Linked DNA regions of Drosophila melanogaster. The protein of the gene in region 1 interacts with the protein of each later gene in a pairwise test. Each region holds a gene or a part of one and is shown in the gene's direction. Other genes may lie near its edges. The genes, in order: CG10948, Edg78E, 7B2 and CG6763.

Region 1 (11,121 bases):
TATGCTGCTTATGAAAGAATTTAATTAGCAACAATTCCAAGCAAATATTCCAACCAAGCACATTTGTAATGCCCGAAAACAACAATAATTTCGTGTAGAGTTTCATCAACGGAATGAGCAGTAATTACTTAGTTATTTAGCATTTCTTCGTAAGGGAATATAGTATGCAGCTTCTTTTAGTGATTTTTTTTCGATGCATCATCATAACTGGGTGGCAAGTTCTATTAGATAAGACACAAAAAAGAAGTTAGACATTTTTTCAATACAATGTTCCACATCGCTTACATTATAAGAAGGTGGTAAATCATTGTTGCCTGATCCACTGGGCCCGCCTTGGTTGTAGGGTGTGTTGTAAGCACTTGCTGCAGCTTCGGCTTCTTTGGAATCTGTTAAAATAGAAAACAATCCATTTTGGTAATAAATGTTCTCAAGCTCGATATACACAGCATAAAATTTACACCATTGCGATTCACCTCTTACAATTTATGTTTACGGTATCAAAGCTGGAACCAGCACAACACACATGGGTCTTTGAATTGGATAGAAATAATGATGGGTGCTGCCGAATCTGGCTACTATTGGTTCGCATTTTGTGGGTAATAAAGAAAAAGTTAAAGAAGAAACCATTAAATGTCACTAAATCAAATCGGATAGACTTAACTACTTGAAGACTCGGCTTTTGTTAGTAATTTGCTTTGGGTAACATTGAAACAATAAATCTTACTTGTCGGGATGGCTATTTGAGGTACAGTAGTTTGCTTTTAATTACACTGTAAAATAGGTCAAAAGATAAATGCTTTTTTTTAGATTCGGGAAATAATTTTGTTTTGATTAGTAATAGGTTAATCGTTATTTGGATATTAGGTGAGAAACCTGATAAGGGAACTCAAAAATGGGAAAAAAACAAATATAAACACTACCAAAAAAGGAATATTACACCGTCAAATGAATTATGCTAACAAATCATTTATTATTTGGACAAATTGAATAATTTTGTAAGTGAGAAAAATAAACAGAACGAATGCTTCTGAATGGTTTTTGGATGCCTCTTGAATACTTTGAGCGTCCGAAAGCAAAAGGTGGTTCATGATACTTCAATTAAATTCTTGATAACATTTTAGATCTTTAGATGTTTCGACTATTTTAAAGATGTTCATAATTTTCTTGTCCTTTTGCTCATATTTTTTTATCTTTTGCTAGAATAAAACCAATTTAGAAATGTGCATTGTGGGAGGGAAATGTTAAAAAAGTGATGAATGGGATGATGAGTTCTACTCACTTCCAGGGGGCAAGCTGAAGCCCATAAAGCTGGCTCCAGATGCGGCGGCTCCTCCAGCTGCTCCTGCTGCTTGTTGTCCGGGTGGCGGTGGTCCACCTGGATAGCCATTTGGATTTCCATTCGGTTGCTGAAATCCGGGGGTATTAAATCCGCCAGGAACATTGCCGTATCCACCATATGGCTGTGGACCATTGTACGTCTGAGCCGGAGCGGCGTACGGCGGCTGTGGTGGACAATTTGGGGCACATGAAGCGTACGGCGGAGGTTGGACATAGCCACCGGCCCATCCTTGTGGCCCATAGCCCGGCTGCTGTTGTTGCTGCTGCGGCGGCGGCGCTGAAAAACCATACCAATTGGGTTCATTCGACGACGGTGCCTGCGGCTGTTGCGGTGCTGGTTGGTGAGCAGGTGGTGCTAAGACGAAAAAGAGAGGAGTGCCCCATTGGGTTAAACGAAGCGAGTGCGTAGCGTGAATTTCGTGGGTAAGCCAGGTTGCCAATTCGCGTAGCCAGCGTGCCAAAACAAAAGCCGAGTATAGATTGGGTAAAGTGCACGTGCGTTTAACTTACCGATACCCGGATACGGCGGCGGATTGTCGCTCATATAGACCGTATTCGGCGCAGGGCCGCTGAATGCGTCATGCTGCGGCAGCCAGCCATAGTAGCCAGGTGGTGGCTGATATGCCGGCGGTGGTGCCTCATTCCAGGATCCAGCCGGCTGATATGGTGGCGGATCATCACCAGCCAGACCACCGCGGTGGTAGTTGTTCATCGCCGTCTTGGCGGAGCGCAGTAGAGCTTGACCATATCTATAAGAAATGGACTTGTTAATCAGAACATTATATATTCTCTTGAGTCTATTCAGTATTAAGACTTATCAAGAGATCCGTCTAATTAGTTTTAATTTAGGTGCACAATGCACTTACTCAATTGCGCCGCCTGCCTTGAAATGGAGCTTGAACTTGACCTCGCCCACGTAGTTTCCATTTGGCTGAGCGCGAACCTTTCCCTTGATGTAGTTGGCCCCGAAAACGGGCTGTTCGATTTCCACATCCGAAAGAGCAACAAACGGGGCACTGAACGACTGCATCGAATCCGAGGACTTCTTGCTATTGAAGATCATTCGGTGGGAGGTGAGATAAATCCTGCCACCTTTGGAGCCCTTGAAGATGGGATTGTCCTGACCGGAGAACTCCATGGAGACACTGTCGCTGTGGAGCAGTATGCTGAAAGTGTAAAAGCAGTTAATTTGTGTGCCATATTTCTATCTTATCGCTGGAACATAGGCTAATTTCCTTTCAAATCGCCAGCCACACGTCAGTGTTTACATTTATGACGTCAGGGATGTTCAGCATTTTCAGTGTTAATTAAAGGACTTTTCCGTTAACTTACTACTCTCCAGCATGGATGAGCACGCCATTGTTGGCGTGAGCCGTATTAACCGACATGTCTCTTTAATTTTCCAACTGTTTTGAGTCCACAAAAATTTGCAAAAATTTCATACAACTACGTTTTGTTTTTCTAGAAAACTGACGACAGCTGATGATTCATAGTGAAAAGTGTGGCAGCGCCGAAATTATCGGATATCGATACTCTTTTTAGGGTGACCAGTACGAGCAGTCACTCATCTCTAAATATAATTAGTTTTTTTTTATACATACCTGTCGTACAATTACTGGGGCGTTAATATGCGTAAGTGATAAGATAATGATTTTAAAAAGCCCACAAAATGTGTAGCAAAGAAAATGGAATAAATAGAAAGGTCTGGGAAATTAAGAAACAACAGTATTTGCGGTGAATTCGACTTTTATCAGCAGGTGGGACTTACGCCATTTTGGGCACTTGCCACCCCCCAGCTTTTATTTCCTTTTTTTACCTATCGAAAATTGAGGTGCTCAGCTGATTGGTTATTTTGTTTTGCTACCGGCTTCGTTTGGGTTGTTATCTCTTTTAAAGCAAATTACAAACTGTGTACATTTTGCAGTACCGCTCTTTGGGACCATGCCGAATGGCGTCAGTTTGCCAAATCACCCGAATTTCCTCAACCAATTGGCAGCTGCAATTTCCACGGCGGCCTCGAGCACATCTGTCGTGGGAAATCCCTCTTCGCCCCCCAAACAGATCCAGAATAAGATGGCAAAACAACAACAACAACCACAGGGCAGTGCGCCCATGGATCTGGAGAATGAGAACGAACACTCTGCGGATGTGAGCTCCTCGACGATGCACAAGGAACCCAAGTTGCAGGCCACATCCAACTCGCTCACTCTGCCCGATTCGACGCAACTATACCTGAATGGCTTGGTGCACACACCACCTGGATATCTGTATTTTCCGGCCACCCAAGCGGGTGGTGCTACTGCACCCGGCAATCCATCCTCGGCTGCAGGGGGATCCACGCCGGCAGCTTCAGCAAACAGCACCGCCAATGCGCAAATGCTCATGGATCCTACGGCCATGATGGCGGCGGCGATGCAACAAATGCAACAGATGCACTATGCAGCGGCAGCAGCAGCCGGAATGACCACAGAAACCGGAGCTGGACTAGAAGCAACTCTTAATGCGGGTAATGAAAGCAATACCAAATTGGAACCTTAAATAAACATTCTAATAAAAACATACTTTTAGATGGCGTTACACCAGCTGGCCTCAAGGAGGTGATCAAGACCAAGAACTGCATCCTGTTTCCACCTAATCCGAACGCACCTCCTCCCACAATAAGGGAGCGACCACCAGGATGCCGGACGGTGTTTGTGGGTGGACTGCCGGAAAACATAACCGAAGAAGTGATCCGGGAGATCTTCGAATCATGCGGCGAGATCACCACATTGCGCATGTCCAAGAAGAACTTTTGCCATATTCGCTACCGCCAAGAGGGTGCCATAGATAGGGCCATCTACCTATCCGGCTATAGATTGCGTATATCAGCGCTAAATGAACCTCCCAACTTTGGACGCCTGCATGTGGACTACGCACAGGCACGGGATGATCAGTATGATTACGAGTGTCGACAGAGACAGCATCAGAGGGAACAGCGTCATCGTGAGCGCATGTCGATGGACAGGATGCGATCGCAGTCGCCGCCACCAATACCGCACTACACGGATCACGAGGCTACTACTGTTGCGGAGCACCTACGCACCAACGAGACTTTTGTAAAGGCCATTCAAACGATTACCGCGTGGCTGGAGCGGGGAGATTGCACTAAGCGGAACGCCAATGTCTTCTATTCGATGATCCAGAGCACTCATGCCCATGTACGAAGACTCCATGCAGACAAACTGCAACTGGAGGAGGATCTAAAGAAGGCCAGAGACAGCTATCGCAACCAAATGGGCACCATGTCCACGCAATGTAAGTATTTCGGCCTTTCAGCCGGAAGATCAGCTTTCTTAGCTCTAGTCTAGACGGGAAACTAGGCGCCGATCCCACTTTGAAATCCTATTTTTCTGTTTACGTTGCGCCCGGGTTAGCCTTTTAGCGTCTGTATATCTGAACAATCTACCAGCGTACTACACATCCAAACACCTACACCTACACTGAAAACACACCATACCCATCCTACACAATATTTAGCAAATCTAGTCATCGAATTATTAAATGCCAAACTCCACATATGAAACTACCGTCTAAAATTTGCTCGCCAATGGTCGCTGGAGCAAGCCCAATGAATCCAAGCAGGATCAGGTAAAGACTAGCCGAAAAAGACGAAGCCCAAGGCCGCCGCACAGCAAAAGTCAGTGGATGAGGCGACAATCGAGATTGCCTTTGTTCTAACATCTGAAAATGTTTTGTGATGGTATATGGAGCCTTAGCACAAGCATTGGCATTTGAAAGATTAATGCATTTACTAGGAAGTTCAGTCGTTTTAATACGTTTTACTAAATTATTACTGCCAATTAACTACCGCTAATAAGTATTAAATCAAAAACCCGCTTAAATTATCAATTATTTTGATAATTAATATTAATGTAAAACTATAAAACTACATTTCGCATTCATTTAACAGTTTGATTTCCTGATTAAAATGGAATATCATTTCTTATTCAATCATGTTTATTTAAAAAGTTGGTCGCCCTTTTCACTGATTCGCTCCACTGTGCGGCTGATCCTCACTCACTTTCACTGTGTCTCGACACCACCACAAAAGTCTTAAGTCTTATTTGGCCCAAAAGGTTTGTAAGCCGCAAGGCAGAGAGCAAATTGAAACAATTGGTACAGTAATGGATTGAGAGGTCCTTGTAGAGCATCTCAGATAATCTCAGACTCGGACAAACGTAAAGATAGGTAATCACGCTGTTGTATTCTCTCTAGATTGTACCTAATATATCAACCTTAAATAATCGTAACTACTCTAATTAAATAATTGCTATGCGAGGGTTTCTCCTGTAGTTTAATTTCAATTTTTCATTTCTCACTCATTTTATTCGCAAAGAGAACAAGTCTAGTTTGACAAAGGTGAAGAGCAAAACTGAAAACCAATCCAGATAAACAAACAATCAAAAAAAAAAAAAAATACCCTCTGTCCTCCCTTAATATTATTATATATTATTGCATTATTGTTCAGTCACTCAGATTGAAAAAGTGTTCAATGCCGCTAGTCACAAGAAGGTTTGGGACCATTTCACCAAAGCCCAAAGAAAAAACATCGATCAATGGAAGAAATTAGCCACGGTACGTACTAAAATGTTCAAATAATCAAATACGAACAATTTCAAAGATGTTGCAAATTGTGTAAAAACAAAAAATACATTTATTGTCCAATAACTTCGATTCACTGTTGTATCTCTTGGTTTCATAATGTTGTATCCGTTTATGTTGATGTTGTTATCATCGTTGTGGTGTTGCAGTAGATTTCTAACCATTTTACTAACGCAATTTCTGTTATCATTCAGCATGTCGCCCATTCACCCGTCCTATATAATCATATGGTACTATTCCATTGGTGACGCTTATAGCTGCTAATTGCTTTTTATTAATTGTTAATTTCTTTTATTTGTCCCGTGCATTAAGACTCTTTTTAGCTGTTTGTGTTTTTGATTATCGAAATTTCCAAATCAGTTGTGATGTCACTAAAAAAGAAACAATATTAATATTAATGTAATTTGCAAGCTTAAAATGTACTATCGTTTAAATTATGTAGAATTAGATATATGAATAAGATTATTTTAAGGGAAACTGTTAAAAAACTAGTTAACTATATTACTATATTTCTAAGAATTCATTTTACAAAGTAAAAGTGCGTTTTTTAAACAGTTTCCTGATCATAAACACTCATTAGTATCTTTCTAAATATGAGGTCTTTTACTTTTATTGCTTTCGCTCTTGATCTGTAATGCTTTGGTCTATCTTTTCTTGGCTTTCAAGTATCATTTGTTGTTGTACTATCTCTATTTTTAACTAAGCATTTGCATAACATTTCCGATACGCTTTAAATACATCGAACTAAAAGTAAACCTTAGCCGAGTGTCCACAAACCTTCAAGTTTCTATGGGAAATTGAATTTTATAGAAAACGAGGAAGGTTTTGATGGGCACTCAGTGAAATCGATTGGTTGTGGTAAATAGCAAAAGGAAGAACTAAAAACATTGCTGCTGTGAAACATAATTTGTGCAACAAATACAAATTAATTTTTAATAGCAAAAAGAAATTAATCGAAACAAATTCTAAAACTTTTTGAAAATGTGGCGAGGTAAGTAAGCGGACCAGAACAGAGTCGTAAGCAAGGAAACAAATTTGATGCATTATTTAAATACACAAATTTTATAGCTAGGTTATAATAGTGTAAGCAATGGTACTCAAACCAAACGAAACCTATCCAACTAGTAGCAACGGATAATTAATTGAAGTTCCTTTCGCATGCCACGCAGGAACTTCGAACTGTCCAGATCACAGATGATGATGAAATGGAAATCTCCGACGATGAGCGGGACTACGATAGACGCGGACACAGCGCCAAGCGAATTCGCTACGACAGTGATGGCTTAAAAGTATGTTTATCAAATAGTTTAGTATAAGTAACTTGAAATAAAATAAAGATTTTAAATTGGATCAGGACGAGAACGACTCTCTACGCTGTCAACTGGAGGCCATTCGTCACGAGATGACGCTGGAGCGCAGTGATTATGTTCAGCGCGAAAAGCAGATAAAGGTACTTCAGGAAACCATTCGCAACATGCAGACCCAGTTGCTGCAGACGAAGCTACGCGAACAGAAGGACAACAAGACCATTGAGCAGTTGGAACGAAATCTCAAGGATGCCGGCATTAAGCAACTTCTGTTGAAGACCAAAATTAAGGAAACAGTGGACAAATTAAGGGACAAAGAGGCAAATAGCGCTGGAGCCTCAAATGCTTCAAACGCCTCAAATCTCGACTACAGCAGCGGGGATTCGTGTAGCCGGGAAGGCACAGAAATTATCCGCCCACAGGCAGAACCGGAAATAATTGATATCGATAAAGTGGATGATGATGTCCGCATCATAGAGCACCAAAGCGGTGTGGTGGAGATACACGAGATCGAGGACGATGAAAAGCAGGAGCCCGCTAAGGATTCTACGAAAAGCAAAGCAAATGAGTCAATTATGGAAAATGTTTCAAAGTCGAATCATGAGGAGACTATAAACAAAAGCAGCAAAGAGCAAATCCCAACAGTGGCCGCGGAAGAGGTTAGTAATGAGAATTATTTGTGTAACTATATATATATATAGATTTAATTACTTAATTTATCTTAGTTTTACATGCATCTAATTATTTCATACATTCCCTTGCATATTTCTAATCACTATTCCTTGTTTTAGGTGACTTTCAAGTCGCTAGTCTTGTCTGAAGCCAAGATAATTGCTCTGGCCTCAGCCTATCTGGTGCTGCATCCCTATGGCGTTGAAATCGCCAACATAGCCAGTTACTTAAGCGAAATGCTGCGCAATAACGCTGCCCCCAGTAACCATGATGATCTAGCCAATATACTCGGAAAGTACACAAATCTCTTCAAGCCGGAAAAGGAGAAGTGGAGATTCTGTGGCTTCAGCGAACCAACTGAATCTCAGACGGAGTCAAAGTGAGGGGATGAATGCGGAATGTAGACTCGAATAAGATGACAATTAAATGCTTTAATTATCTTACAACTATATCATAATGAGTAGCGAGTAAGCGGAGGAAAGTGAAATGTTAACCAAAGGAAAGACGCAAGTTTTTCAATGAAATCACGACTTAATGAGACCAGATCCAGGTTTAAGGGCAAGTACTCGAAGTTAACTCAATCGGAAGAAAGACACCACAAACTAACTACCGTTTCAATTATTTAAATAACTCAACCTAAAGAATATATATACACTTAAGCTAAATGAATTCAATATATACAAAATATATATACATCAATATTTTAAATAAACTGAGAGGCAGAAGGTCGCGTTGCTTTTGTTGAACGGAAGCGAAAGAATGGAACCAAATAAATTGTATGCTAAACTACAAAGAGTTTTCTTTAATTTGAATCAGATAAAATATTTGGTTAATGACACAAACACACATCTTTCAAGAGAGCTTAATCTTGAAATCGAATACAGCATCTTAAATATTTTGAGATTTCCATACTTATTTTTAAAATTGATTTTATTAAAATAAAATTAAACTTAATTTATGAGTTTGGTTATCAGTTGTAAGCTTCCTGATTCACAAGCTTTACATGATTCGTTAATTGAAATCGAACACGATGTCAAATAACATTAGCAGTTTTATTTGAGCTTTAACAAGATTGATCCATTAAAAAGGATTTAATGAATGCGATTATTATTCCAAATTCTTTTATTTCTTGTGATATTTTGACTAAAGTTGTATTATGAAAATACAGTCGAAAGAATTTTCAGCTTCCTCCTAAGCAAGAATTCATGGACTTGGTGAAATATTTTATTACATACAATATGATGAAGTCTGTTGTTATCCTGCAGAAATACATTACATATGTACATACACATATGTAACTCCAAAACATTACGTAAGGAGCTTACGTTTGTGGCGTAAGCCGCTATAAAGTGCGCGAAATGAAGCTGCGCGTCCTCTGCCAAGGACAATGCCCAACAGCATCCTGCCTCCCCGTGTCCTTTGACCCCTCTACCTCCCCGTTCTCTCCCACATATTTCAGTGACGTGATAAAATTCCATACTCTACCTATGAGTTTACCCAATATTTGTGACGTCAACGAAACGTTTATCGTACTTAAAGCGCGTTTGGAAATTTAGAATAAGCCGTAACCGCAAAAACAAAATTACTGAGAGATGAAAGTACAACAACAACTACATATGCAAAGGGGGAGATGAAAGAGAGAATAAGAACATGAGCGTAAATTTCCCAAAGCAAAAACAAAGTACTACGCAGCACGGAAAAAAATCACTTCTGTTTTTGAATTGGCCTAACATATTTTTTCAACCTAATAGGCGTTATTATACCTCTTTAATTATTACAGAGCCTTTTGGTATTTAAGAGAATATCTCTCTTATACCATCAAAGAATGAATAGCCATAAACAGCACGTATTTTCTCTCTGTGCATCGGTGTATTTGGAGTGCTTTTCTGCCGCTGTGCCGCTGCGAACGTCGACGAGGGAGGCCCGTCTATATCAATGCTATCAGTCGTTTTTGCGAATTCGAGGCGCGCGGTTCTGTTCCAGAAGCCCGCAGGAGGATTCCATTGGAACGAACCACTGATTTTGTCGTACATGTCCAAGTAACGGGGTGTTTTAAGTGCGTGCATGTGAACTGTAATTTCGTCCGCCGCTGTATATTTTAATATAATTACGTGCACTTTCTTTGTGCAAAAAAAACGGAACAAATCGAAAAAAAAGGGGAGATAAAGGAAAGTCTCTCTCTTCAAAGGACAATTCAAGTTCACGAATTCGAGTGGGAAGCTGCAGGGGCAACAACAAAACTCGTGTTTTTGTTTTTTACGCGGGTAAGTTCGATTTTCACCCGGTCTTTTGAACGTAGTTTGAGAGCCATTGGCATTTCCGAAAAAGCGACAAATAACACAGAACACCAAAATTTATACCAATCTGCCGGACAAAGTGATAAATTACCGGCTAGGGGGAAAAGCAGAAAAATATTTCAAAATAAATACAGAAACCTGAAACAACTTGAGTTCATTTTTAGTACAAATATACGTACCCATATCAATGTGAAACCTGTGTGAAAATAGCAGGTTTATATTTTCAAAATTTTCCACTGTTTTTAAAATATTGAAAAAAGAATTCATCTGATTATGCGATGCTTTTTTGCACTAATGACTTTTTATGATGACTTATTCTAAGAGATTTTAATATTTAAACTTTGAAATTTTAAACAAGTTTTCAAAATTTTTGATATAATTAAATTCCAATCAAGTCTGGAATTTTTACGAAATTTCGAATAGTTAAGTGTTTCTATCAATCAAAAGTGTTAAAAATTAATTTTTAGGTTTAAGTTTCACGATTATTTATAATTTATAGTTAGAATTAACTCAATTTTATTTATGATACAATTGGCGATAGTAATATAGTTTTACCTTGTCACGGGATACTGAAAACCAAACAATAAATAATTAACACAGATTACCATTAATATATAAAAACATATCGAAAACTTGTTGAGCATTAGGAAATATATATTTTTTGACGTCACAGATGAAGCCGAGAGGAAATGAAATTTTAAAATGAGCGTCAACGCAAAAAAATGTTGTTTGCCGATAAAAAGTATTACACTTTAATATTCTAAGTACTAGCGCAGATAGAGATTACAACCAGTAAAAGAATTGTATAAAAGAATTGTGAAAAATACATAAATTCATAGAGAAAGAGGGAGAAGTAAACCATTTCT
Region 2 (6,497 bases), 8.5 Mb from region 1:
TCAGCTCAAAAGTGTGACCTTCCAAAAACAACTAAGATATTATAATATAATTTGTATGCAATTTGGGGTTAAAAATTATGGATTCAAAAACAGACGCTGGGAAGTTTAAGTTTGCAATTTGGTACAGCTAGTTTTTGCCGATTTGTATAATGAAAACATACTTGACTCTGTTCAAATGATCAGCATGGCTGTGGGTATATTTGATGTAACTATTTATGTTTTTATTTTTTGGGGGATTTATGTACAGACTTTCTAGAACTAGATATAACTCATGTTTAGCAAAAGCACTGACTAGGCTTTGAATGGGGTATCCAATCGGGGATTTAGGGCTGTGGAGGGTGGGCGGCGATGTATTCCAGGGCGCGGAGGATGGCCTCCGGGATTGGGGGAGCGGTGGGAAGGTGATCGCCCTGAGGCTGGAAGCCGTTTTCATCGGCGACGTAGGTCAGTGAGATGGGGACGCCTTCGGGGGAGATGTAAGAGCTGCTTCCGCTAATGCCATTGACGTTTCCGGCCTCCTGGGCCTGAATACCATTGCTGGTCTCGAAGGCGTATTGGTAGTTGCCCTCGGCGTCGGCAGGATTAACATCCTCGCGGGTGATCACGGCATCCTTGTTTATGTTGTCCGCATACACATTGGCCAGCATCAGAGCGGCGAGCAGGCAGAGCGACTGAAATGGTTACACACGTTCACGTTCTGATTTTGAATCCGGATCCTTCCGGGCGGCTAAGTCTACTCACTAGCTTAAACATCTTGCTGGTTTCTTGGCTTGTATAATCCTCACTGGTTGGGTGATCTTCGCAGGCGGTGGCTTTTATAGGCAGCCAACGGCAACGCCGACTTTGGCGTTGGCGTCGCCATCGCTGACGTCTCTAATCTGGCTCTGAACTCCAAACGCCGCTCCAAACTAAATATCAAACTTAATACGTTTGTCGTTTTTTTTTTTCGGCAGCAGCATACCGATCGAATTGAATAAAATTCAGCTCAGCAGCTAGTAAAAAAATGGAAAGGAGATCTGAATTTCAGCACCGCAGTGCGAAATACCCTTGCCAGATATTGCTAAGTTTACCTAGAAATCATAGGCATTTGGCTTAGCTTAGTTTAATTATCTGCCTAGCAATTTTCGTCTTAATCGGAAACTATTTTCTTTTTGATTAATCGGGCTTGTGGGCTCACTTCTTTGAGAGCTATTATTTCGTTTTTTTTTTCTTATAGAAGAACAAACAAGGGATTATAGTTTTAAATTTTCCTTAAATAAAGCACAAATTAGCATGCATGGTCATTTAAAATTAAGTGTATTGTGGTAATTCTGTAGAAGTTGGGTAATTCAATGACTAAACTGGCTTGTGTCTTCTTTTTTCAATATAAGACTTTGAACTACACGGCCTCTAAAAGGGGTGTGGCTTATGATACTTATCTTGAAACATTTGCATTTCGAAAACAAATTCAAATATTTATACAATATACTTATCTTACCAATCTCAAAAAAGCAAACCTCTGATCCAAATAATATCAGCCTTAGCTAGAGTATAATGAAGCACCTGAACCCATTCCAAGTGGTTTCTGCCGATGGATCAACACGCTTCTGCCTTGGTAGCGGTAATCATTTGACTTTGCACTTAATGGCCAATAGTAGTTTTGGTTAGCTTTTGGGGGCTTGGAGTTATGTCGACGGTAATGGAACATGTGACTGTGACATTCGCCCGTGGATGGTAAGTTTAGAGATGGACCTGGATTTGGATTTGGATTTGGAAGGGGGCAGCAGCTCGTGGCGAGCTAATTTAATTCCATCCAATCCAATTTATCATTCGTTTCGATTTCATTATCATTGGCCATTTGGCTTGCTATGAGCGCAGGCGGACAACCTGTTTGCTCATCAAGGAATTCTTAAATTCCCCAAAAAAAAAAAACAGCAAGTTCAGCTTATTAGCATACAAATTCGCTGTCCAGTAATAAATTGTATTCTAGGCCTATTCGCACTTAGCACTCCGCCTAATAAAATGCCCATCAATCGACGCTCCACCCGATCTGGCAAACTAGTTCAGCCGGCCCACCAGCATCCAAGCCCTATCCGAAATCTATGACGTATTGGACAGATGGCTACATTCTCTCAAATCTGAATTGCTAAATTATTAAAATTCAAATACACAAATTCTCAGATCATTTCGACGTCTGCTTACCGAATATCACGAGATATTAAACAGCATTTCTATAACGGTTTTAAGCAACTTTTTGATCTATATTTGCATTTGTATTTTTATTTTTATAAACTTAAATACAAATTAGACTCGTTGAAATAAATCTGGTTTCCAATTATGGCAGAACTGCACAGACACACACACACACTCTCAATCATTCTATGTCAGTGCAAAGTTTCGGTATAGAAGCCGTACTTATCCACGTGATAAAACACCCGTATGTATCCTCCCTCGGGCAGGTCAAAGTGGAAGTACCCAGGTATTTCACTGTCCAGAATCTGCACCTCTGAATTGATAGCATTCTCGAGACATCCATCCGGTTTGGTGTAGTTTTTGCGTATTGCGTGTGGCTCAACATCCAGAAATATTAGAAGAAGGAAAATCCACTGCAAATACATAAGGATTGTCCCAACAGATTAGTGTGAGTCTACAGCTTTGCTTTCATTCTACCTGGGCTGGGAAAAATATACCATTTTATGACGTTTATTTCCTGGGTCGTTTGGCGATTTCTTGAATCGAAGTCTACACATATGTAGAGAGATAGGTGTGAACTACATTTAATTACTAGCTTACTTCGGATTTTGCACACTTCCTTGTTTACCGAAACGATTCTCAGCAATTAACAGCAGTTTGCAATGGTTGATGGTGTTTGCCAAGCTAATTTCGAAACAAAAAAATATCTTCGTTCGAACCTATCGCTGCGTCCATTGCAACCAATCGATTCGCCGAAGATCAAAGTGAACAATTAATTAAAGTCATAAATGTAGGGTATCAGAAGATCACACGTAACATCGCACTGCATGGCTGGATCATCTTCGGCGGCGCTCCGGGTGACATGCTGATGCTGCCCGATGACCTTGTCCACGTTTCAACAGCTTTCCAGGGGCACAAGGTATACTCGCACCATACTAGACCATCGCACCTGCCACTCCATTTGGAAGCCTCGAGCCCAGGGCGCAACTCCAATTGAAAGTTGTAACAAGAAATCTTCAGCTCGTGTTGGGAATTTCCAACGCTGTTTTGAATGGGCCGAAAGCGTCACATTAAACAGCAATATTTATTCGATTGTAATTCAACAGTTAATGGTATCTCGTGCGAAACCGAAACCGAAATCGAATCTGAAACTGAAACCGAATTAAAGCATACAATATAAATTGTTGGCAAATGACTCATGTATTTTAACTATAGGCCAGCCGAGCACTGTTGTTATTGTTGCCCAATATTGGTGGTATGATAAGAAGACATTTTGGCAATTATACTCACCTCTCGGGTCCTTGTGATTCCACGAGAAAAAACTTGTTTAGCTGCTAAACTAAAGAGACTAAAGACAAGGGTCTCATCCATATAAAAGACGCACTTGAGCTGATCAAATTAAACAGTTGCACTGCAAGCACCATCATCACAGCATCACCGCTTTAAGAGAAGAAAATTCCCAATTCCCATCATCATGTACAAATATGTAAGTTCGGTTGGACTTGGCACGCCTCATACCCCAGAGTACCAATACTGATCATTGTACTTTGATCCCAAAAGCTGTTCTGTCTTGCTCTCATCGGCTGCGCCTGCGCCGACAACATCAACAAGGATGCCCAGATCCGCAGCTTCCAGAACGACGCTACCGATGCTGAGGGCAACTACCAGTACGCCTACGAGACCAGCAATGGCATCCAGATCCAGGAGGCGGGCAACGCCAACGGAGCACGTGGTGCCGTGGCTTACGTGTCGCCCGAGGGCGAGCACATCTCGCTGACATACACCGCCGACGAGGAGGGCTACCATCCAGTGGGTGACCACCTGCCCACCCCGCCCCCAGTTCCGGCTTACGTTCTCCGTGCCCTGGAATATATCCGCACCCATCCCCCGGCGCCCGCCCAGAAGGAGCAGCAGTAATCTGGAGTAGCACCAGCACTCCAAAGCAGCAACCCCACATCTAAACTGCGGCCAGTCATTGTTATTTAGGTAGTTATCGTTAATAAAGGATTTCGATACAGATCATTTTCGTTTTTAGTAATGTAGTAAAGATGGAAAATAAATGTTTCATGTATATGTATTCATATGTAAATGAACATATGTATAGTTCTTCGAAAAATATAGAAGCGTACACTATCTTCAATAGAAACAAATTTCAGGCGGATGGAGTTTACATTTTTAAACATTTCTTTATCTTAACATTGCTCTTTTTTCTTTCAAATGAACAATTTGAAGAATGTATATGTTAGTTAATGATTTCGGCAGCCAGTAATTGTATAAAACCATTTATCTATGTAATAGATTTTGATTTATGTCATTTATTTTTCCACTTTCATTTATACTCAACGCATTATGATTTCCGAACTACAATAGTTAAATTTTTGAAAACCAATCCAGCGGTGATGCACAGATGAGATAAATTAAAAGAAACAAAATCTCGTGTTTAACAAACTATACTTTTGGGCTACACGCAGAAAAACAAACAAATGTCTTCAACAGAGGTTTTCGCGGCATTTGCGGCATTTAATTCGCTTAATATGTAGATATGTTTGGTTGTTTTTAAATTCGAGTGAGCCGAACTTGATCGAAATTTTGCAAATCCTGCCCGAGACGCTTTTGAAGAAGTTCAAACCCGGAAAAAATTTCCGTTTATTATTAAGCCATCGAAAGGTCGCCCAAACAGAGCCACGACTCTTTTCCATCCAGTTTTCAAATTTCCATATCTGAGAATAGACGTAAATATTAATCAGACACGCAGACAAATAAATCTGTTCGCAGTTAATGGGATAACAAGATAGAATTCGTTGGGGTCGCCCGAGATACTGTGTGTTTTGTGTTTGGGCGAGCCCCATTGTTTGCTCTTTATGGGCGCGAAGACCATAAATTCCGGCGTGAAAGAATCGATGGATGCATGGACGGATTGATTTATAACCCAAGCAGAACAGACCGAGGGCAAGAAACATTTGGGCATTTCAAAGATCTTAGAACATCTAGCAACAACTTAGTCTAGGTCTTAAGTTTTAAGCTACTAAAGTTAGTTGGTGATTAGTACATGCTATAGTATTGTCAGCCTTCTTCACGGACACTTGCATCCAAGTCGATGTGTATAATGGATAGGATCCAGTCAGGAACTTCACAAGAAGTGCGGATTCTTCAGATTGCCATCCTCGGTGTGAGTGCGAATGTACTCCAAGGATCGCAGGATATAGTCCGGAGTGGGCGGTGGCTGCGGCAGATGACGTCCCACTACATGGAAGCCCAGTTCATCGGCTATGTAGCGCGTCTCGATGGGAACGCCCTCCGGTGAGGTGTAGCTATAGATGCCAATGGTCTCCAGCGGAGATCCTGCCGCTTGGACATCGATTCCATTACTGGTCTTGAAGGCGTACTTAAACACTCCTTCGTCATCCGTGGGCGAAACGCGGAAGTCCGTTATCCGTGCATCCCGCTCACTGGCTCCGACCAATCTCCGGATCCGGCGGACTCTCACCAGACGGGCATCCACCTCCACCCAAATCAGGGCCAAAAGCACCATACCAATTAGCTGAAACCAAAAGAGGTCTTATCAGCGATCAAGTTCACAGATCGGATGGGGAACACAAATGGACACAGGGTCGAAGTGCTTACAAAATTTCGCATATTTCTCGGTTTTATCTCGGTTTGTCTTTTTGCACTGTCAGCTATACACAATATCCACTCGGAGTTTTATGATTGATTTTGTAATAATTTATAATATCCCGATTTGATGTAATCCGCTGCGGAATTCCGACGTCTGCGAGGTTTAAAGTTAGCCACCGTACTGCCACTCCGGCCAGCTGGTCTCTCCAACTTTATATGTGGCAAACAACGGGCCAAAACGTAAGCCACGAAAATCTAATAAGCATAACCAAATGCCAATAATCGGTGGCTCTGGCGTCTTCTGAGATAAAACGCTGCTCTGTGTGGCTACCCTGCCCACCAATTTTTGGTTCTCGATAGCAGGTCATATCGGAGCGGCCACATATTATTCATTTCCGTTTATCATGTTTGCTTATTCATATTTTACGATTTCATACTTCAGATGCTAATAAATGCGATAATAAAATGTGATAAGTATCTCGAGTTCTTGAAGATCTTCTGCCAATTTGCTGTGGAATTTATGGAGCCGAGTTTCCGATTTTGATTTTATTATTGTTAATAAAAGGAAGCGATACCCTCGATGGAAGTTATAAATACTAGTTTTGAGTTGAGTTAACAGTGTGAGGTAGTTAAAATTTGGATCAATAAATTAGTTTAGACCAATGTATGTATGTATGATATTACTTAAAGCATAAGCACTTGAAGTTTGT
Region 3 (6,654 bases), on another chromosome or scaffold:
CATGCAGCGCACGAAGCTGGTGAGTCCGCTGGCCAGCTGCGAGGTCTTCAGTTGGATGGCAGGCAGTTCCGTGGGACAGAAGAAACGGGCTCGCGTCTTCAGGGACCAGTCCACAGGTAGGTGGGCGGTGTGCTTCTGCCGGGCGGCCAACTCCGCATCGTCCTCGTCCTCAGCGTTGATTTGGGGATGCTGGAAGAGCTTGGCAAAGGCCTGCGGGTCGTACTTCTGGAGCACGAATTTGGCGGGCGCCGGGCGCGTGGGCGTTTCCCGCACAAAGCAGGAGGAGGCAGTGACCACTGGTTCGAGGTCCGCCAGTTGCGGATCAACGCGCAGTTTCTTGGCATCAGCTGTGGATCTGAGGCAGGGAGTCAGTAATTGGATTTTGGGGAGAGCGAGAGAGAGGGAAACTCACTTCGCAAACGGATTTTTTCGCTTCTGGGCGAGCTTAGCCTCCAGTAGCTTGCTTTTATCCGTCTCATCCACTTGGTGTCTTGGCCGCCTATTGTTGTTGTTGCTCACGCGGGCTGCCAATTTGTTCTTCTTCTGCTTGAGCCGCTGCAGTTTGATGAACTGGAAAACGAAACAACAACATTAGTGGCGGGCAGGTGCTCCTCCGAGTCCTTACCCACGTCATCTGGGCGCGTCCATTTGGAAGCCACACTCGCTTCGGTGGACATGTTCAATGTCTTGGTTCGCGCACAGGACCTTCACGGATTATTTAAGTACTTTGTGAACTGCAAATATCTTCAAAACGTTTGCAAATATCACAAAAAATTATGGCGCGCAACTAGGGGTGTGAAATCTTTCGATTGATTAGCTCGTTATTCGCTATTTTCGCCCATGTTCAATTCCCAAAAATATCGTTAGTCGGCAAATAAAACGAATCTCACAATTTAACTAATTATTTATTATAATAGATGGAGTAGTTTACAAAACGAAACTAACTTAAATTGTATATCACTGGCTGCAGGGGCTATGTTGGTTAACAATGGCATTGTTGGGCATCGAATTTGATTTTTTAATTTTAATGGTTCTTTTTGGATTTACAAGCTTCTAACCTAAATTAAACAAGCGCATGTTGTATCGTTTTAACTATTAATAAAATCAAATGAATAAAAAATCTTTTTGCGCTATAAAAATGTATCTGACTATCGGATTCACCGATAACAAATCGATTAAGCACTGTCGTTTTTCCAACTGTTTTATGATCTGGTAACACTTTCCGTCGCTGCGTTTTATGCTAAAAGTAAACACATTAACTTGATAAACAATGAACCTCGCCGACGTTTGCCGTATTTGCGCCAACAAAATTATGGGCCACCAGCGAGATCGCAACATATTCATTCACATGCGGGGAAAATATTTGGGTCAACTGAAGCTAATCACGGGAGTGGAGGTAGGTCGTTATGTCAGCTTCCGACCGCGCCAACAATTGTTATTACCTGGAATTTGTTCAGCTGACAAGAAACCAGGGGCTGCCGGAGATTGTTTGCGAGCGCTGCTTCTCCGAGCTGGACCTGGCCACCAAGTTCCGCGAGCGGTGCATCTTCTCGCAAAAGTACCTGCTGGATATCATAAAGAAGACCAGTGATCAAAGCACTGTTCACGTTGAGCTTAGTTCCGAGCCGCTGGACGAGCAACTGATCGATGCGGATCAATTGGAGACGCACTACGATGACGACCAGTACGTTTGTTATCAAGGCACGAAAGAGGAACACCAAGACCTAGAGGAAATCGAGCTGGATGACGACCCCTCTGCCGCTGTGATAGCGGCAGCAGAGGCGGCAGCAGAAGCGGCGCAGCAGGAGGATCTACAGGAGCAGGAAATGGAGCGGGCCGCCAAGAGGCGCAGTAACTTCTTTATCTGCGACGAGTGTGGAACCCTGTTCCACGATGCGTTCCTGTACACCGAGCATTTAAATGGGCACCAGAACCGGCGGGATATGAACCAGTTCTTCCCCTGCCCTGAGTGCCCACAGACTTTTAACAAGAAGGCGCTTCTCAAGCAGCATCGCACCCAGGTTCATTTAATTAACCGCAGGTTCCAGTGCACCATCTGCCACGAGGCTTTCGCGTCTCTGGGCGCTAAGTTGCGGCACGACAAGTAAGGAGGCTGGGAATTGAATGCTAGCGCAGCACTATATGCAACTTCCAATTTCATTTTAGAGCCCATAAGAACGAACGACCTTATCCATGCCTAGAATGCGGAATGATCTTCAGCAGCGTTTCCGAATTGCAGAACCACTTTTCGACACACTCAAAGCAAATCCGAAAGTTCAGGTAAGCTTGTCAGCTTGCGCAGTCATATGTCTTAATATCGTATTTTTTGCGTTTAGGTGTGAGCCTTGCAACATGGATTTTATAACTCGCCGAGGCTTGGTGGCCCATACAAAAACAGCACCGCATAAGCGCCTTGCCAAATATATGCAGGATGAATTCGATTTCATCGAATTGGCAACCTAACCCTCAATTATTACCACCTTCTTTCTAAGTAAATGCTAAGGTCAAAAAAATAAATCATAATTGAGTAGTTCAGTTTACTACTTCGCTACCATAATATTCGACAATGGAGTATCGGTTCAATGTTATTTTTTTATAAGTGTATTTTTAATTTATTGAAAATAAAATTCCTTCAGTTTTACTTTCAAGTCATTTTTTATAGTTCATACTTTTAAATTAAGGAGGGAATGGAAATTTATAGCGTATTACCGTGTAACATAAACCTCTAGTCATACAATTCAAGAAAATAAAGTTTTCTTAGCGACTAAGTTTTCTTATTTTCTTCCAGCATTTTATACTAATAAAGCTTAAAGAGGCCTGAAAACCTCAGCTCCAGCAGTTTGGCGCTAATCTAATTCTCGGCCCCCCACAGGACTGCTTCAACATAAAAGAGCTTTCGAGTACGGCGCATGCGTCCTTTCAGCTGTGGCTGCCATAAGGCAGCTTCGATTGGATCTGCGTATATTTCGCAAATTCAACTGGTAGCCGCCGCACGAAGCACAGAGCCCTACGTCACGTTAGTATATACACGGAATCGGAGCAGCTGCCGCCGAAAAATCAATACCTTACCAAACTTCGACGTGGACGGTTGAAACCGCTTGGAATCGCAATATGTTGTTCCGTTCGCAAAGTAAGTCTGCTGAAGTAATATTTATAGGTGGGTGAGGTAAGAGAATAGCCCATGTTTTTCCAGGTGTGTACATGATGGTGGCGATGCTCGTGGTCGCCTTGAGTGGCTACCAGGTGCAGTCCTATAGCGCCAAGGATATTCTTGCCGATGTCTTGATGACGGATCTGCTGAATCGCATGGACAAAGACATGCAGGTGGGCTATTACGACGTGGGCAACGAGGCAGCCGCTGGCTCCAAGGACAACGTGGACCTGGTCTCCCGGTCGGAGTACGCGAGGCTGTGTGACGGCGGAAGCGACTGCATCCTGCAATCGGGCTCGGCATCGGGAGCTGCCTCCCATCCTTCGCTGCGGGATGACGAGTTTCTGCAGCACAGTTCGCTGTGGGGTCACCAGTTCATCTCCGGCGGAATGGGAGAGGGTCCCAACAGGTATCCCACTATAGTGAAGAACGACGCCGGCCTGCCTGCCTACTGCAACCCTCCTAATCCCTGCCCTGAGGGCTACGACATGGAGACGCAAGGCGGCAGCTGCATTGTCGACTTCGAAAACACGGCCATCTTCAGCCGGGAGTTCCAGGCCGCTCAGGACTGTACCTGCGACAACGAGCATATGTTCGACTGCTCGGAACAGGATAGTGCTGATGTGGGCGGCGACAAGGGTGACCTGAACTCCGCCGTGGAGCAGTACATCATGCAGATGGGCCAGGAGAACAGCCTGAACAACGTTAACAGCCTGGCTAAGAAGGCCGGATATCCTGTGATGCCCGATCCTCGGCTGGACGACGCGGTCATAAACCCGTTCCTCCAGGGCGACCGCTTGCCCATAGCCGCCAAGAAGGGCAACCTTTTATTCCACTAAGGTAACTCGCTGATAACGCGAGCATACACGACGTTTCCATATGGGTGTCTAATACTATTATCTATCATAGCTGGTTATCAATGTTGTCCCGCAAGCGATGTCTAGTAATGTTTCTACCCTTTCCCGAAAATAAAGTTATTCGTATAGTACCAGGGCTCTAAGCCGAAAATATGCGGGTATTGGTCTAAACTTGGGGTAGGGTCTCCACTACCGAAGGTGGGTTCGGATGTAGCTTATCCTTGGGATGACCCAAGTTTGATGAGAGTGAGAAATATCGAATATCTGTTTGATGCTTCTATTTATTGTTTTAAAAAGTTTTACAATCCATCAAATCATCAATGATTATTCATTTAAAAAGAACTATCCTCGATATGTCGTCGAGTGTACAAATAGGCCACTGCGGTTCAGCTCCACGTTGAGTATTTTGTGTCAGCATGCACTGGCCGCGTGTTTCGGATGATCCACGCGGGTATTGACTTAAAGATAACCTAACAAATGATAGTATAGTACATCGCATGAATGTTGCTGCCACAGTGGGCGATCAGCCACCCAATTATTGGCACACATCGACACTGGCAGTGTGATTAGCTAAGCATAATGTTCGTTCTGTTGCCATGAAGCCTTATGAACGACCTGATCCTTCTGAGCCAGAGTGTCCTGGCTCTCACTCGCGTCCCTATACATACTATACAACACAATCCTTCCTTCTGACTACAATTCTAGGTATTGGCTTAGTCTTAAGTTTAGGCAGTTGATGGAAAGAGGCGGAATTCGTTAACAAGTTACCTAGGTCTAACTTAGCTCTACGTCTAGGATGGGCGGGTCCTTCACAGGCGACCTGTGCCATTACCGCCGCCGCCGTTGGTGTTCTGGCCCCAGGAGACCTGGTGGTGCGGGTGGGGATGGGGATTCCTGGTGGTCAGCCGCAGGGAGTTGCCGTCGCCGTCCTCGTCGATCACATGCTCGTAACCCTGGTTGATAGTGCCGCCCCCATTCGAGCCGTAAATCTGCTGCAAGTGTAAGCGGACGTAACAAAATATTTCCATGAGAATACACATATTTTATGATTATAAATTGGCCTTTACCTCGGCACCACCACCGTTCACATTGAATACATCCTTGATGCTGATGCCTGCATTCGAGACACGTCCGCTTCGCTGATTCGGCAGAGCTCCATTGTTGTTAATCTACATATATGCATTAAAGAAGTTATGATCCTGTATCTAAAATTTCTCCAAAAACTTTTCTAATCTCACCGGTGCTCCAGTTGTGATTCCGTACTCGTTCTTTGCTCCCAGAGTTTGCATCGCGGACTTCCGCCTTTCGGCCATCACCGAATTCTTACGCACCTCCAGTGCCCGGATGGTCTCCGCCCGCATTGTCAGGCGGCGGGTGAGAATGGGCGTGGCCGGATTGTTCTCCGCATCGGCGGTGAGTTTCAGGAAGCGCTTCTTGAACGCCACATCCAGGGTGCCGATCTGGCGACGTGGCTGTCGCGCCTTCTCCAGATTTTGAATGGTCTTCCGCCTGGCTATGCGATCTGGCCCGGAACCGGAGTCATTGTCGTAGTCGCCATCGATTCCCTGCAGCCTCTGCAAGTTCTTGACGATCTCCACAGCATGCTAAATAATATCATAATTTTATTATTTGTATTAATGTCAATTACGGGCCACCTACCTTATCTATTAGTTGGTCCTGTGTCAGATCCTCAGACTTCTTCTTGCAGAAGTTGAGTTCAGTCGAGGCCAGGATGTGCGAAATGGTTCCAAATCGATGGAACAGCATGGCCGTGAACTGGATTATCAAAATAAGAGCAAAGAAGAATACGAACACCAATCCGATGGGCTCCAGCTGAAGGTACTCCTTGGAGATGTGCACCTATGGGGGATGAGTAATACGATTAGCGGGGCCCTGAAGGAGTTGATTTTGGGTTAGTGACACTGAACGATTTGATTGGTTGACGGTTTGGGCTTGGATAATGGCTGATCTTGATACCAGTAGTCGGTGATTGTGGCATGTTGAGGTTGAGGTTGTGGTGTGATACCATTTGGGAGGTAGGTTATATGTCGGGTTTGGTTTTATTTATATATTTATTGAACACATTGATGTCTGAGGAACAATGAACATGCTGGCCGCACCTCTGGCCCTTGTGTACAGAACTGTGATTACTCAGAGGGGGATACTTAAGTATGTTGCTTACAGTTTACCGTGTTGTCATTTTAGGGCTAACTGTTAGAACCGCGAAAATGCCAAGATGTTGTTCTGTTGTTTTTACATGATGTATTCGTATGATAAACAGCCTGAACCATTAGGATGGGGCTAACAAGGTAAACGGGAGTACCGAGAACAAAGAGCATCATTAGCTGTTTGGTGATGTGACATGTTGGACATGTTGGGTAGTAAACATTTAGAGAAAGTGAAACTGAGGAGGACAGGCAGGAAGTTAGAGGACCCGTCCGGAGGTTTTAGGGTAAGACAAATACACTATGACAGCACAGTTGTGGGTAATACTATATAACATCGAGAAAAGCTTGTGTATAAACCTCGGATGTCTCTTCGATATAGGTAATGTTGGTTTTGACGCCCAACGGCCAAATAATGTGTAGCTTGTCCTTGTTCAGTTGCAACAAGAAGACAATCAGCACGAACAGGGCGTTGGCCATG
Region 4 (7,730 bases), on another chromosome or scaffold:
ATACTAAAACTTTATGAATCTCGCCTGAAGAAGTACTACGAGTTGATTTCCGCACGCAATGCTGAGGAGATGTCCCCCATTGTTAATCCTGACATACTCCAGTTTATCAAGGAATTTACAGCTCGAGTGCAGCAGAGCGGGTCGTCAGACACACAAATGCCCAAGGTGAGCGCCGTCAAGGTGCCGCTTACGCCCAGCCAGTTCATGTCGCCCGCACAGAAGTCAGTTCTCCTGATATTTCTAATATTTAGCGCATTCTTATTGAAGTTGTATCTTTAAGAGTCCTGGAAGATCTAAAGGCGCCCACATTTTCCCTACAAACTAGTCTCTCAAAGGCTTCTTCCCTCATTGATGCTTCTCACCGGTCCATGTTTGACTCATCCAGTAGGAGGCGATCGCGTGATCATGACACGGACACATTAATTCCTATCGCTGAATGTCTTGATCGGGTACAACGTAGTACTGACCTAATGGCCGCTGAGGCGGAGAAGTGTTTCTACGACTGCGACTACAAACAGTGCCTGAAAATACTCAATGAGTAAGTGAAGAACGGCGTAAAAGACTTATATTGATCAAAAATGTATTTGGTTTTGCTTATCATATATAGACTCCTTAAGGTGGATCCCTTTCATAACACTGCACTGACCATTCAGATTGCCTGTCTGGTGGAAAACGGCGACTTTAATCGGCTATTTTACGTAGCCCATAAGCTGGTGGACCGTTATCCGGACAAAGCGATCTCTTGGTACGCCGTGGGCTGCTACTACGACATGATTGGCAAAAGTGATCCTGCCCGGCGTTATCTCTCCAAGGCAACTGCTTTGGACCGACTTTATGGCCCCGCTTGGTTAGCTTATGGTCACAGTTTTGCCAATGAGAATGAGCACGAGCAGGCAATGGCAGCCTATTTTAAGGCCACACAACTGATGCGAGGTTGTCATCTCCCGTTGCTTTACATAGGTGTGGAGTGCGGGCTAACTAAAAATCTTGAGCTAGCTGAGAAATTTTTCCTACAGGCTATGAATATTGCGCCGCTGGATGTATATGTACTTCATGAGCTTGGTGTGATAAAGTACGAGTATGAGTTCTTTGACGGTGCCGCCACCATTTTTCAGTGCACCGTGGACATTGTGAAACAGCGGGCCAAGAGCAACAACGAGGAGATCTCGTCCCGCTGGGAACCGCTTTTTATAAATCTCGGTCATTCGCTGCGCAAGGTGCATAAGTACGAGGAAGCTCTATACAACTTTCAATATGTGAGTATATTTTTGTACTATAGGTATTTGATATGTCCTTGATATTCAACGATTGACTTTCAGGCACTTCTATTAAAGCCGCAAAGTCCTACTACATACACTTCAATAGGATTTATACATGCTTTGCTAGGAAATCTAGACCCCGCCATCGAAGCTTTCCACAAGAGTTTGGCCCTGAACAGAGACTGCATAGTGACGTCTACGATCCTTAAGAGTTGTATCGAAGACCTTATGGACGACTCGGCTACTATTGATGAGATCTGCAGCGCGGCCTTGCGAGACGTGGCCAAGAATATCACGGCCAACAGTCGCCGGGTGTTGAACTCGGACAAGTTTAATGGGATGAAGCTAAAGTTCGATGAGGAAGAGGAGTTTGCCAACTCCGATTCCAACATGGTAGTGGAAATGAGCTTCGATACCTAGAAAAAATGTATACCAACTTATGTCAATCATTAATGTTAGCTCCTATTGTTAGCCAGACAAACATATGCCATGCACTTGAACTTAATTCGTGGCCAGAACAAATACAGATGTTTATGCTTGTATATTGTCGTCTGGCTAATGAGCAAAGTCTTGGGATTTTTCAGCTCTGTTTTTCCCACCATCAATCGAAGTCGCCGCCATGTGAATAACATTAAGTATTTAAGAAAACGTAAAAGTCTCATTTGAATCATAATTGTACGGCCAGCCAAGAGTGGTCCTCTAGCCACGTTCTCTCATTCATTTTGTAACTTGAATACCATTTTATAATAATTAAAGTAAGCTTAGCATATGCAAGAAGAACTAAAGTTGTAATCACAAGAGTTTGCTTCCTCTAATAAGCACGTACCGCAAAGTTACAATCAAAACATGAACTTTTTCAATGCCATTTGGTAAGATTTCTTTGGAGTGGAAACAAAGTTCCGTAGATACAAATTATACAAGTGTTTCGCGTGTCTTTCCACTCCAAATAGCCGGCAAATTATTCCGGAATATCTTCCAACAGCAGGCGGTATAAATCCATAAAGGCAAGAGGTCGCCGCGATAGTGCTTATCGGTTATCGCTTTGGGGGCGACAAATTACGTATAAAGTCGTTAAACTTTGGATATGCAAACAAACTACTGATACACTTTATGGCAATAGCGAAGCAGACAGACACAGTCCCATATGTATAGCCGCTTAACGAGAGTGCTGGCCAAATATTTACCAGGCCATAAAGCGTGTGACAAACCAAGAAGCCAGCGATGACGATTGCAGCTCCGTTGAAGGTTTCCTCGTGGAAAACATGTTTATGCATATGAAAGCCACCGCCACCGGCAAAGTTTGATAAGCGTTGGCGGCGGCGATTATGCTGGAAAATATATAAATCCCGACCGGGTCAGAACTCAGCACAGTTTCATTCTAGCCATTCAACAAAGAGGCAATCCAATCACCCAAACAAAAGCAATTACGATTATAACAATGAGCCTGAAAGTTTTTCTAGTCCTAGCTTTGGCTCTATCGTCCTGCCAAGCGCTTCCCTATGTATCCTATGATGATGTTGACGATACGGAGGTCATCGAGCTGCCTGGAAATGGAATCGAGGAGATACCACCCACTCTTGGCAAGGATATCATCGACCTGACACCATTGGGAACGGCGCTCTTTGGCAAACCGGATGAGGAGCTAACGGCGAATCGTGTGGGTAACTTTAGTGCGGATGCAGATGAGATGAATCCTGAGGAACTGGGCAGCTATCTGGAGGGTGATATGCTGGTGCCGCAAACGGATCTGATTATGAAAAATGGACTGCCCACTCAGTCCTCCCGTTGGCCAAATGGTGTGGTGCCATATGAAATCCGAGGAAACTTCAATGCCAGAGATATGGCCACAATTGAAAATGCCATTGGTGAGTACCATCGTCGGACGTGCATTCGGTTTGTGAAGCGCAGCTCTGAGCGGGACTACATCTCCATTCGCGGCGACAACTCCGGCTGTTGGTCCTCCGTTGGTCGAGTGGGTGGCAAGCAGGAGGTGAACCTACAGTCTCCCGGCTGTCTCAGCCGTCCAGGAACCGCCATGCACGAGCTGATGCACGCCCTCGGCTTCCTTCATGAACAGAACCGTATGGAGCGCGATGGTTATGTGGCCATCCAGTACAACAATGTCCAGTCCTCGGCGATGAACAACTTCGAAAAGGCCGCCCGCACGGAAGCCTTTGGGGTGCCCTACGACTATGGCAGCGTGATGCACTACTCCAAGAACGCCTTCTCCATCAACGGACAGCCCACCATACTGGCCATGGTGAGTACAATGGTACCAAAAGTCTCCTGGGTTTAACTTAACACTCTTCAATTTCTGCATTCGCAGCAAGCCAATGGCGCCGATAAAATGGGCCAGAGGAATGGTTTCTCCGACTACGATATCCAGAAGCTGAATCGTATGTACGATTGTGGCACCGTCAACGCTGTTCCAGTTGCCCCAGGATTACCCGCCCCTGCTCCTGCTCCTGGCGCCCCTGCTGGCAGTGGCAATCCGATTGTAGATAGCTTCATCGGCGGCCTGATCAGCGGATTGGGATTGGGCGATGAAAAGAAGGAGACCAGTTCATAGACAGAATCTACTAGCTCGTACCATCCACCAACGCTCGAAAGTATTTAACGCATTCCACATACAAAAAATCTAGCACCATTACTTAAACATGTAGCTAATATGTTTAGTTGATAATTATTAAAATTTAGCATGAATTGAACAAACGGATTTAAATATTCATCAGTTGGAATCGACTAATTTTAAGCTGTAGGTTAACTTGGGAATTTATTATAATTGCAACCGAAACATGAGAATCAGACGATTCTAGTCCTAGATATCTAACCGGAAAATGTTGCACATATGCATATTTGAAACCGAAACTAATGGGAATGTGATTTGCATCATATATTCCAGAACTACATGTTGCGCTTGGCGGCCAGGAGACGGGATCGCGGCAGACGACACTGGCTGATGCTGTGCAGGCGGTACTGCATCTCCGGCTGCGTAACCTTCTCGTACAGCTTCTTCTTGGCCTCGGCGACCGTGTGGACAAGGACACCATCGCCGCCCTCATCCATGTTGAAGGCTTCACCCTCGGCGCACTCGGGACACTGCTGGGTGAGCACAATGTCATTGAGATCGGTGGGCAGCTCGCAGATCTTCTCGATCTGCTTGACCACATAGTCGAAGCGGCCCTCCTCTTGGCGCTCCATCACATAAACACTAGCCGTCAGCTCCTGGACCCTTGTCTCGAGCAGCTTCAAGAATCGATTGACATTAACCAGATTGACGTGGGTGTGGTCACCAAGGAGTTTGGTCAGCGGACTGGCATCTATGGAACACATCTCGCAGACCGTCTCCACGCCCTGTAGAAGATTCTCCAAACGTGCATCGTTGTTTTCCCGCGCCTTGTGCAGTTCCATGTTGGATTCCTGTTTGTTACGCACCTTGTTCTCCAGACTGGAAATCTGATCCAGTTGGTCCTGCAGCGTGTTGGAGTTATCCTTTTTCAGGTTAACTATATCCTCAAACAGGCGATTCACCGAATTATTCAGCATAGTTATGTGGTAGCTCATTTCGTTGGCATAGTTGAAGAACGAGTAATAGAGACTCTCCTGCTGCTGAAACTTATCGATCACCTCGTCCATATTGCTAGATTCCGTATACTGGAGAATCTTCTGCAGCACCGAGTTGTAGAGATTGATCTTTTTGTTGTGCACCCGTCGGAATTCATCCCTTCGCTTGTACTCCTTGGGCTGCAAATCGGCCAGCTCTCGAGGCTTAGACTTGCAATTCAGGAAGGCGGTGTTATCACCATCGGCTGCCACCTTTCGCATAATACCCTGCATCTCCACACGTCTCATATCGCGCTCCTTGGCCTCCCTTTTGGCCAACAAATCAATTTTCTCGTACACCTCAATGCAGCCATCGAAGGTATTCAGAGCGTATTCGATCAGATCTATGAGATACTTTTTCTCGCTGTTCAGCTTCTGCACCATTTTGGTGTATGAATCATTGAAGAAGGTGCGATGATTCAGGATGCGGATAAGCTGCTCTCGCAGATCCGCATTGGCTGCCGTAAAACCGCACTCCTGACGCACTCCCACCTCCAGGGAATTCTCCAAAATGGTCATCCTTTTCCGTGCTCGCATTACATAGGCCTGATGTTGCTGATCCGGAATGGTTAAACGATTCAGGTTGTATATTTGCTTGGACATGCGACTTATCTCCTTCTCCATGTTGGAAATCGATGTCTTCAGAGAGTTAATGTCCTGCGACAGATTCTCCTGGCACTCGACATGGCAGCGAATCAGCTCCAGCCAGCGATTGTTCTGTTTTTTGTGGGTCGTACCACTGGCCACCCAGATCTGGGCACGCAGATCGTTTTTCTCCTCCTCCAGCTGATCGATGGCCGTCTCAAAGCTGGCCTCGATGATGGTCTCCTTGCGGGTCTTGAGTTTGCTGGACAGGATCTTCTTGTACTCGCGCTGTCGCTTGCCCAATTCCTTGTGCTTCAGCAGGTAGCTTTCCAGGAAGGCAAGCTTGTCAAACTTCTTGATTTCCTCCATGGTGAATGCTTTCTTCAGTAGCTAACCCAAAACGGAGTTCCACCTTATAAAAGTGGAGACTTTAGTAACGAAAATCAAGCAGAATATTCGTGTTTGTATGCTTGCTTTCGTAGTGTTTAAAAAGTTGCAATATGTTTGTCTAATCACTAAACTCTAAACTCTCTGTCTAAACTCTAAATAAGATATGAATTGTATGTCAAGGCGTATGTGGCGTATATTTCATACTTAAATAGATAAATATTTAACTAGATTCATACCAAGTGTATCAAAGCCCAATATTTATGCCAATATAGGTTGTAAGTTGATTTAAATTAGGCATATTTTATGTTTTAATTAAATAGTAACTCTTTTATTCAACTTAAGAATTAAAAATTAACCAATGAAAAACTGTGAATTTCTTTTGTTCTTGAGGGTAAACCACTACTGTTGGGAAATTCCGGAGCTTTCCATGGCTTGGAAAATTTTGAATGAAGACCAAACGTAGGCGGCCCTCCGCAGATCGTTACACAATTCAAATTTGTGGGCCATCTCCTTGATGCCACGTGCTGCAGATTCCATAACTGTTTGGAGAGCCGAGTCCACGATATCCGCCTCTGTGGTGCATTGTTGTATCCTCTTAAGTTTCTTATTGGGACATATGTTCGGCTAAAGGAGAAAAGTAAGGGATTTACTATACTATACTACTTAAGGGTAAGGATGGACATACTAGTTGACTATCGGGGCATTCATGCAAAGACTCATTGATGGAGTTCATCAGTTCGATAATAAGCTCGGATGTAGATTTAGAGTTCATTTTGCCATATGACACGTGGTTAATGTTTTTGAGGTACTCAAAGTAGGATACTGTTACGCCGCCCGCATTGCAATAGAGATCGGGAACTAGGAGGACACCCTTATCCAATAGGATTTTCTCGCCAGATGGTGTGGTCGGCCCGTTGGCGCCTTCCAGGATCAGCTTGGCCTTGATGTCTTTGGCATTGTCGGTGGTTATCACTTTTTGGGTGGCACACGGCATAAGGATATCGGTTTCGGCTACCAACAAGTCCTCCTTAGACTCCTGAGCTTTTGGATATCCTTTAATAGTCTTCTTTTCCTCAGTGTATTCAAAAAGATCCTATAACGTAATGGGTTTTTTTTTCATAAAATTACCTAGAAAATGTGAAGAGCCACTTACATTAATATCTATGCCGTCCTTATTAACCAGAGAAACATCAAACTCTTTTATTCCGATGACTTTGGCGCCCGCCTCGTGCACATACTTAGCGGCAAAGGAGCCCACATTGCCAAATCCCTGCACTATGACCGTCTTGTCCTTCCATCCCGTCTTCCACTTGAGCAGATCCATCCATTCCTTATCCTTCAGAAAGAGATCGCCCGCCTTCCAAACGCCTCTGCCCGTGGCCGAATGTCGACCATTAATGCCGCCGTTGTGTACGGGCTTCCCGGTGACAATAGCCGATGAATTGATATCCTTGTAGCCAAATGTCTTCTGGTACTGATCAACAATCCAGCTCATCTCACGCGGACCAGTGTTCACATCGGGCGCCGGTACATCGATGCCGGGACCAATCATATTACGCTTGAGCAACTCCATCGTGTATCGCCGTGTGATCGTCTGCAGCTCATCCACTGTATACTTCTTGGGATCGATACAAATGCCGCCCTTAGATCCACCATAAGGTACATTCACGCAAGCGCACTTGAACGTCATAATGGCGGCAAGGGCTTTAACTTCGCTCTCGTTCACGTCCAGAGCGTATCGGATTCCTGTAGGAGATCCGATGCTTAAGAATACGCCTATAGATGAGATAAAACCACACTTACCGCCCTTGAGAGGCAATCGATGGCGTACATGATGCGAACGATAACCGCTGATGATCTCGTAGGTGCCGTTTTTGCGGACAATGGGAAAAT

Evidence for each region.
Region 2: the proteins of CG10948 (region 1) and Edg78E interact in a two-hybrid assay, tested with the Drosophila melanogaster proteins (one large-scale study listed by BioGRID).
Region 3: the proteins of CG10948 (region 1) and 7B2 interact in a two-hybrid assay, tested with the Drosophila melanogaster proteins (one large-scale study listed by BioGRID).
Region 4: the proteins of CG10948 (region 1) and CG6763 interact in a two-hybrid assay, tested with the Drosophila melanogaster proteins (one large-scale study listed by BioGRID).

The regions. Positions count from the first base shown.
Region 1 is NT_037436.4:12,841,881-12,853,001, reverse strand, and holds CG10948 (uncharacterized protein), read left to right. Parts: upstream 1-2,884; 5' UTR 2,885-2,966; coding exon 2,967-2,970; intron 2,971-3,210; exon of another isoform or gene 3,211-3,262; coding exon 3,263-3,844; intron 3,845-3,906; coding exon 3,907-4,632; intron 4,633-5,845; coding exon 5,846-5,952; intron 5,953-7,148; coding exon 7,149-7,268; intron 7,269-7,333; coding exon 7,334-7,945; intron 7,946-8,077; coding exon 8,078-8,341; 3' UTR 8,342-8,748; downstream 8,749-11,121. Other genes in the region: Wbp2 (WW domain binding protein 2), read right to left, coding at 177-221, 286-386, 1,280-1,693, 1,849-2,087, 2,205-2,504, 2,671-2,726.
Region 2 is NT_037436.4:21,294,877-21,301,373, reverse strand, and holds Edg78E (Ecdysone-dependent gene 78E), read left to right. Parts: upstream 1-3,570; 5' UTR 3,571-3,646; coding exon 3,647-3,658; intron 3,659-3,732; coding exon 3,733-4,089; 3' UTR 4,090-4,611; downstream 4,612-6,497. Other genes in the region: Cpr78Cc (cuticular protein 78Cc), read right to left, coding at 324-671, 742-753; CG43702 (uncharacterized protein), read right to left, coding at 2,364-2,597; Cpr78Cb (cuticular protein 78Cb), read right to left, coding at 5,303-5,713, 5,797-5,808. UniProt on the Drosophila melanogaster protein: Component of the cuticle of the pupa of fruit fly.
Region 3 is NT_033777.3:5,373,821-5,380,474, forward strand, and holds 7B2 (7B2), read left to right. Parts: upstream 1-2,959; 5' UTR 2,960-3,111; coding exon 3,112-3,130; intron 3,131-3,178; coding exon 3,179-3,990; 3' UTR 3,991-4,155; downstream 4,156-6,654. Other genes in the region: hd (humpty dumpty), read right to left, coding at 1-355, 413-570, 630-677; CG14667 (uncharacterized protein), read left to right, coding at 1,271-1,396, 1,458-2,104, 2,167-2,280, 2,337-2,463; kkv (krotzkopf verkehrt), read right to left, coding at 4,818-5,000, 5,076-5,177, 5,247-5,612, 5,668-5,868. UniProt on the Drosophila melanogaster protein: Acts as a molecular chaperone for neuroendocrine convertase amon/PC2, preventing its premature activation in the regulated secretory pathway.
Region 4 is NT_033777.3:23,282,077-23,289,806, forward strand, and holds CG6763 (uncharacterized protein), read left to right. Parts: upstream 1-1,925; 5' UTR 1,926-2,697; coding exon 2,698-3,519; intron 3,520-3,585; coding exon 3,586-3,828; 3' UTR 3,829-3,965; downstream 3,966-7,730. Other genes in the region: Cdc16 (cell division cycle 16), read left to right, coding at 1-221, 281-538, 608-1,256, 1,320-1,679; wam (wampa), read right to left, coding at 4,164-5,816; bb8 (big bubble 8), read right to left, coding at 6,237-6,461, 6,523-6,930, 6,991-7,583, 7,641-7,730.